2 linked regions of the Mus musculus genome follow. Each later gene encodes a partner of the first gene's protein in a complex. Links are inferred from orthologs where the notes say so. Each region holds a gene or a part of one and is shown in the gene's direction. Other genes may lie near its edges. The genes, in order: Lman1 and Mcfd2.

Region 1 (3,810 bases):
ACTCAGTATGTAATATAGTATAAATGTAACTTTTAGATACACTGGAAAACCGGGGGGGGGGGGGGGGGGTGTGTGTCTTGCTTTACTGTGACAGTTTGAAACGGAACCAGCATTATCCCCATGCTATGCCTATACAAAGAGTGACACTCAGTGACTAAGGTCCAACAGTCATACGTGGCTCAACTGGGACTCGAGCCAGCTACTCTTGAGTTTCACTTGTTTTCTCTGAAAGTCCACAGTAGTTAAAGAACTGCTTATGAAATTAAAGCGTGGTTGGCCTTATTCTGGAAAAATGTTGATGTGCAGGACATTTTGCACGTGATTTTGGAGTGTTTAAAGAAGTCATCAGGCCTGGCCCTTTCATTTCACACATGAACGTTTGGTGAACCCGTGGAGTAAGGACATGAATTGCTCAAAGCCACAGCAGAACCAGGAGCAGCTGAACTTGACCCCTAGTGACGGGTTCTTGTCAGAATGCTGCTTCTAACATTTGTAACTGGTACGATGCACTACAGACTCTTACTATGGGACTTTTAATATTGAGGGGTAATTTTATTAAAAAGAGATTATGAAAATCAAATGAAGTTTGCCTTTTTTTTATCGAAGATGCATACAATATATTCTGAATATCACTTCCCCTCTCAGTCTCCTTCCAGGTCCTCCCACCTCCTCATCCATCCAACTCTATGCTTTTTCTCTCTTTACCAAACAAACTTCTGTCCCTTCAGAAAACAAACAGGCAAAACAAACAAATAAGTTTTCTAAAAACACAGAAAAAAATAGCACACAGAAACAAAACCCATGAGAACACAAAATCAGAAACCACAATACAGAAGAAAAAGTTTTGTCTTAACCTCTGTCCTTGACATTTAATTTGTGGGTGTAGGCTTCCAGATGTATTTCTCTTTTCAAAAGATAAAATTTCAGAGTCATAGCTGTCAGCATGAAGTTATTTCTGACACAATGAATGTAAAATCTGTCTCAGTAGCTGTGTGTAGCCATTCAAAGGTAATCTGTTGAGTTCTGCGTACTTCCAGCTTAAAGCTTTTCTTTTCTGATTCCTACCACAGATGCTATTCCAAGTGCAGATCAGATTCGAATAGCGCCGTCATTAAAAAGCCAAAGAGGTTCCGTGTGGACCAAAGCAAAAGCAGCCTTCGAGAACTGGGAAGTGGAAGTGACATTCCGAGTGACCGGAAGAGGTCGAATTGGAGCCGATGGCTTAGTATGATCATTTCTGTCACTCAAACGAGCATAGCTGCCAGGCACCACTGGCTCCTAACTGTTGTCCCTCTTACGTTTTCTCAGGCAATTTGGTATACAGAAAATCAAGGCTTGGACGGCCCTGTGTTTGGATCAGCTGATACGTGGAATGGTGTTGGAATATTTTTTGATTCTTTTGACAATGATGGAAAGGTATACTTATTGCTAAAACTGTTAGCCATTTTCCATGTTAATGTTTTTCTAGTACAGTTAGGCTGTAAGAAGGTGGCTTTCTTGACACCTTCAATTTAATAGTAAAGAACTTGGCTGGTAGTCTGAGCATGGTAATTAGTCTTGGTGGCAGAGACTTAACTACTAGAAGCTTTGTAGGCATGACTCTGCACACTGATTTACAGCCATGGTGGAGACCTAGCTCTTCAGAACATGCCAGTGATTCACACCCTGCATATGTTTGGTAACTATGAAGAGTCAGCGTGAGTCTTTAGATGTGGGCAAGAAAACCAGTGGTGTTCAGGAAGCCATGGCAGCACTCACAGGCTTGGCGGCAGCTAGCTCTCGGACTTGGATCCGTTCCTATGTTAACTACTTTCTGCTCAGGGCAGTTTTCCTGATGATGTCTTAAAAGCAGTTAAAAACAAACATATTTACGTGCTGAAAATACTAACTCGTGGCTTGGAAGCTTCAAGCTTGATGGTCTTCCCTTCACTTGGTTGTTTATTGATTTCCAGAGCTTACTCTTACTTAGCACGTTAAAAACTTTTAACAACTCCTTGAAAGCCTAGGCCGTATTATTTTAAAAATTTAAGAGCCCTAGAATTTTAACATTATGAGATCTCATAGAAAATAAAGAATGATGACGTTTTCAATGAAAGATACTAAAATAAGTCTATTTTCTTTATTTCTAGAAAAATAATCCTGCTATAGTAGTTATAGGCAACAATGGACAAATCAATTATGACCATCAAAAGTAAGTGATTTCTGCATTGGTTTTGTTTTCAGCTTGTTTTTGCAATCCTTGAGAAATACATTGCTTCAAATCTCAACACTCTTCAAACGAAATCAGCGTGTTCCCTTCCACTAGCTGCTGTATTGTCAGTAGGCAAAAAGGCATGCGTTCTCTTCTTGTTTTGAAGTTCTTTCTGTGAGCCACACTTTCCAGGTTAATTGAAAGGTATCTTTCAAAAATAAATTTAGCTTTCACCAAATTAACGAGTAGCCAGTCTGAGCCACCATTTTTCAATGTCAGTGTCACTTTAAGGCAGTCAGTGAGTTGCAGAGTCTCTAGGTGGTAAGTGTAAGCTCCTTGCTTCTCCGCGCCTGGCTCTGCTCTTCCTACCGTGGAGACTACAATGCTGCCGGTTCTGTATAAACCCCATGGAGTGGTTTAAAATAGAAATGCCTAGGTCAGCCCTTCAGAGTCTGCTTCAGCTGGCTTGGAAGGAGTTTATATAGACTTGTATCTTTAAACCCTCCTCAAGGGGCTGAGAATGTAGCTGAGTAAAATGATAGCATTTACAGTTTGAATACTTGCCGAGCATGTATACGACAGTACGTTCAGTTCCTAACAGCACAAAATATAAAAACTGTAAAGCCCCCCGGAATGATGTGGATGCCATCCTGGTCCCATACGTAGCATATCCTATAGCATGTTACCCCTCCCTTCAGCGTGTGTGATGTTGGCCTTCCTTTCCAGTGTTGCCAGAGTTCTGACAGGAAAGCCTTTGTCTTCTAACTGACAAGGACTGTCATAAGCCTCGTTGTAACTTGGTGTTTTTGAATCTACAGTGATGGTGCCACTCAAGCTTTAGCGAGTTGTCAGAGGGACTTTCGTAATAAACCCTATCCTGTCCGGGCAAAGATTACGTATTACCAGAAGACACTGACAGTAAGTGACAGTAATCAAATACTCGGGGATCTAATACTGCTTTTTTTTTTTTTTTTTTAATTCTTGACAGAAGATAATGTAATTAAATGTGGATTTCCACACATTTGTATGCATTGCCCTAAGGCAGTAGTTCTGAACCTTCCTAATGTTTCAACCCTTTAATACAGTTCTTCATGTTGTGGTGACCCCAACACATAAAATTATTTCATTGCTACTTCATAACTGTAATTTTGCTACTGTTATGGATCTTAGTGTGAATACCTGATATGCAGGATATCTGGCATGTGACCCTGTTAAAGGGTCATTTGACACACACCGCCCCAGGGGGTCACGACCCACAGGTTGAGAACCGCTTCTCTAAGCGAGCAGAAGTAAGAGTAGCTGGCATATGTGGTCATCTGTGTGCTACTTGGCCAGTGCGTTTCTGATTGGTTAGAGGAAGCTTAAGCACCCAGCCTGAAGATAGCTAAGTGCGCATCCAAGCCTTCAGGATACAAACATGGATAAGACACGGGCCGCTGTTCCTGAATAGCTTGTACACCATAGAGGGAGCACATAGCATCACCATACCAAGTGACAAGGCACAGCAGGAAGGAATTGTCAGCTGGAACCTGGACCCTAGAAATGACCCTGGGGGAGGTCTGGAAGGGGTTCTTAATTGAGGTGCATCTCAAAGCAGGAGAGGAAAAGCGTGCATGCTC
Region 2 (3,810 bases), on another chromosome or scaffold:
AAAACCCTAAGACACCTTCCCAGTGGTTGCTGATCTTTTCGTGGGGATAGATGGTGGGGGATGGGTAAAATAGGTTGGGGAAATCTTTGCAAATGCCACAGGATGCTAATCTAAGCCCAGAGGGGCAGAACTTTGCATTGAACCAGCAATTAACTACGGTATCCATGGTATGATGTAAGTTAGTCTTCAGGGAGCTTGCCTGGCTGAATTGTCTTGTTGATCTTAATTCCAAGTTCATTAAGATGTAACATGAGTTTTTCTGTAGCTTTTCTTTGTGATGGTTAAAGTTATGAGACCCTCTCAGGACCCTGGCAGGTGCACAAGGTGGGGACGGTGGCCTCCTCTCCAGGTCACTGCTTTGAGGTTGATAGGACCAGCTTGGTTGCTTCCCTCGGCTCCCGTGGTCTTTCTCGAAGCCCTGCCTCTCTCCATCGCTCTCCATCACACCGTCAGTGAGTCCACCTGAAGCCACGCCAGCCTAGTCATGACTTGACAGTTGCTCCCACTTGTTCTCAGGAAGTGTCAGCCTCTTGGCTCCACATGTGCCCGCTGCCTTAGCACTTGCTCGCCTTCAGCTGCCATTGTCCCCCAGCTCCAGTGTCTGCCCAGGACTGGCTGAAGCATTACTGGCTCTGTCAGCCGTCACCCAAGGAGATTTCTTCGGAACTCCCAAAGGTTCTTTTCTGTTTTGAAAACCCCTCACTCTGCTTTTGTTGTACTCAACTAGGAAGCGTTTCTCTCTCTGGGCTGCTATACAGAAATAGTCTCTGGATCCTTGCATGCTCTTGGGTGACTGCTCAGCCCTCGGACATTAACAGATCTGTGGATCTGTACTGCCCAGTTCGGTGATGGGAAGCAGGTGAGCTGGGGCAGAATTGGCTTGCTCTCCTCTCCTCTCCTCTCCTCTCCTCTCCTCTCCTCTCCTCTCCTCTCCTCTCCTCTCCTCTCCTCTCCTCTCCTCTCCTCTCCTCTCCTCTCCTCTCCTCTCCTCTCCTCTCCTCTCCTCTCCTCTCCTCTCCCCTCCCCTCCCCTCCCCTCCCCTCCCCTCCCCTCCCCTCCCCTCCCCTCCCCTCCCCTCCCCTCCCCTCCCCTCCCCTCCCCTCTTCTCTCCCCTCTTCTCTCCCCTCTTCTCTCCCCTCTCCCCTCTCCCCTCTCCCTTTCCGCTTTTCTCCCCTCTTCCCTTTTCTCCCCTCTCCCCTCTCCCCTGTGTTTGGAGACAGGGTTTCTCTGTGTAGCCCTGGCTATCCTGGTACTAGCTCTGTAGACTAGGCTGGCCTCGAGCTAGGAGATGTGCCTGCCTTTGCCTCTACTTTCCAACTGCTGGGATTAAAGGTGTGCACCGGCACCCTAGGCTGACCTTTTCTGTGGTACTGGGAGTGGCACCCAGCTCCTGGCACACGCACGCTGAGCAGGTGCCCTCCTCTGCCCGTTCTCAGTGCTCTTGTCTGCAGCCTCACGCCTCCCAGGATTCCAGAAGCTCTGGTACTGTGCCTCACCGTCTGTGTTTCTTACCTTCCAGGTACCCACCCGGAAGCATGGCAACCCTACAGCTGCTCAGAGCTCCCTTGCTGTGTGTCCTGCTTTGGGTCTTTTGTGCTCCAGGTGCCAGAGCCCATGACCACGGGGCTGATGTCCATCATGGCAGCGTGGGCCTGGATAAGAGCACAGTGCACGACCAAGAGTATGTATTCAGTGGGGCAGCGCTCTGCGTCCCTGCCATCTGCAGCCATAGCTCATAGGCTGCCCCCGCCTCCTCCCGTCCTGTCACTTTATAGGGCCCCTGAACAGTTTTCAGTGCTCAACATTATCCCTTGGGACTCCTGGTAGTAAGATACCTGTCTTCAGCATCTCACGGTTGGGGGCTCTTGAAGCCTAAACACACCGAATTATTTGTCAGAATTCAGACTTCCTCCTTCCCCCTTCCCTGTCCAGCACATGCAGTAACAGAATCCAGAATGTACTCATGGTTTCCTGATTACGACAAGGCGTTTTCAGTGACACATTCCAACACTGAGTCTTCCTTGGCCAGTAAACTTCACGTTTAGCTTCGTTATCTGTTTTTTGCTTGTTTGTGTATTTGAGACAAGGTCTCAGTAGATACCCTGGTTAGTCTGGAGCTTGCTATTAAATTGGTAGTTCAAAAAATATTGTAACCAAGGTCTAACAGTAAAAAGAAGGTGCCAGGTGGCCGCTGTGCTGTGGCCCTGCACCTTTGGTGGCCCTGGCTGTGTGCTATGTTCTTGACCGTGGACTGTTTCAAAGCCCTTCTAAGGTGTTGACAAGTCTGACTGTTGGTTTTCAGGCACATCATGGAACATCTGGAAGGTGTCATCGACCAGCCAGAGGCGGAGATGTCCCCACAGGAACTGCAGCTCCATTACTTCAAAATGCATGATTACGACGGCAACAGTTTGCTTGACGGCCTAGAGCTCTCCATAGCCATCACTCACGTGCACAAGGAGGTAGGTCAAGGAGGAGGCAGGGTTGGGCATCTGAGTAGACAGTGCCCACGCTGGTGACCTGTGCTGTGTTCCTGCCTCAGCAGAGCATTATCCGGTTTCTGTATCCCACCCTCACCCCAGAGAGGCTAAGCCTGGTTGGCCCAAGCTAAAATGTTGACATTTTCACTACAGCTGGAGTTTGAGGGTCCGGCCAAAAAACCACAGTGTAGGGCACAGGAAAGCGGTCATTTCATCTGAGAAGAAGGGTGACACCGGGACCAAGGGGCAGAGCTTTGGAAGTAGGTGGGGGTTGTGTCATACTGTGAGGTACTTCCTGCTGTCCCAAGGCATGGTCATGTCAGGCTCCCTGCCTGCCTGCATCAATAGGGGAGACACTTACTCTGCTTGATGGAGGCGGGGAGGGGGTGAGAGATGAGAGGCAGTAGGGAGCCCAGCAAGCTTTCACTGCAGTGGATTCTGTGTGGAGGTGACACTACTGTCAGAGGAGTCAGGATCCAGCAGTCCTGGCACGGGAGTGGCAGTGTGGCCATGACATTGGTGTGGGAGATGGACCAAGGTGGTCTCCACGAGAATGGCCAGAGCTTTGTCGCAGGCACAGCCCTCTGTCAGCAGCCTCTAGAACAGGGCGCTGCTTTCTCTTCAGCAGTGTTTTGCAGTGTTTTCTTCCTCTTGTTTTGACCTTGAGGTGTTCATTGTCACTGTTCCCATTTTCTTAGGCAAATTGTGCAGTAGGCTGACCCTGTGGAGGAATCAGGCAGTGAGCTCTTGCCTTAGGATGGGTGTAGAAGTCACAGACTCTGACAAGCGGTTCTTTGTAATCCAGACCCAGCTGTCTGCAGTGTCTGTACATTACCTTGTTACTATATCAACAGTGATAAAAAGCCAGGACCTGTTTTTATCCCATCTTTCTGTAGCTGGCATATGTAGTTTCTCACTTGGAGTTTTATAAATTGACCCTGCCTGGCCTGAGTCTGGATTCCTAGAAGTGGCACATTCTCCCTCGAGGGCTCCTAGATAAGTGACCCTTGTAGGCGTTTGCTAATGCCCTCCGTAATTCTGCCCCTCACCGTCTTGTGTACCTCTCGGTAGGAGGGGAGTGAGCAGGCGCCAGTCATGAGCGAGGATGAGCTCGTCAGCATCATAGATGGTGTCCTGAGGGACGATGACAAGAACAACGACGGCTACATCGACTACGCTGAGTTTGCAAAGTCACTGCAGTAGACCGTTGGCTCTTTCCTTTGTGCACATGTGACCCTTGCTAATGTGATGGATGTGTCTGGTAATGCGAAACAACTTATTTCCGTCTACTGCTCAGCACTTTGGTAAGAGCCTGTGGCAGTCTGTAAGA

The links.
Region 2: the proteins of Lman1 (region 1) and Mcfd2 are in contact, whole or in part, in a cryo-EM structure (PDB 8JP5), measured with the Homo sapiens proteins. The link is inferred for Mus musculus from reciprocal best matches to the Homo sapiens genes LMAN1 and MCFD2. Residues at the interface, in NP_005561.1 of Homo sapiens: His43, Arg44, Arg45, Phe46, Tyr48, Lys49, Ser51, Phe52, Lys53, Pro55, His56, Gln59, Ser60, Asp61, Val64, Pro65, Phe66, Trp67, Lys96, Phe265, Glu273, Lys279, Glu280, Ile281, Glu285, Lys286, Tyr289, Glu292, Phe293, Phe296; in NP_001164977.1 of Homo sapiens: Val59, Ile60, Asn61, Lys62, Gln70, Glu71, Leu74, His75, Phe77, Lys78, Tyr82, Asp83, Asn86, Asp89, Gly90, Leu91, Glu92, Thr95, Thr98, His99, Val100, Leu111, Glu114, Leu117, Ile118, Ile121, Asp122, Leu125, Asp129, Lys130.

The regions. Positions count from the first base shown.
Region 1 is NC_000084.6:65,995,981-65,999,790, reverse strand, and holds part of Lman1 (protein ERGIC-53 precursor), read left to right. Parts: intron 1-1,070; coding exon 1,071-1,225; intron 1,226-1,308; coding exon 1,309-1,416; intron 1,417-2,129; coding exon 2,130-2,191; intron 2,192-3,009; coding exon 3,010-3,109; intron 3,110-3,810. UniProt on the Homo sapiens protein: Mannose-specific lectin. May recognize sugar residues of glycoproteins, glycolipids, or glycosylphosphatidyl inositol anchors and may be involved in the sorting or recycling of proteins, lipids, or both.
Region 2 is NC_000083.6:87,255,799-87,259,608, reverse strand, and holds part of Mcfd2 (multiple coagulation factor deficiency protein 2 homolog precursor), read left to right. Parts: intron 1-727; exon of another isoform or gene 728-848; coding exon of another isoform or gene 849-859; intron 860-1,519; coding exon of another isoform or gene 1,520-1,535; coding exon 1,536-1,681; intron 1,682-2,302; coding exon 2,303-2,462; intron 2,463-3,551; coding exon 3,552-3,683; 3' UTR 3,684-3,810. UniProt on the Homo sapiens protein: The MCFD2-LMAN1 complex forms a specific cargo receptor for the ER-to-Golgi transport of selected proteins. Plays a role in the secretion of coagulation factors.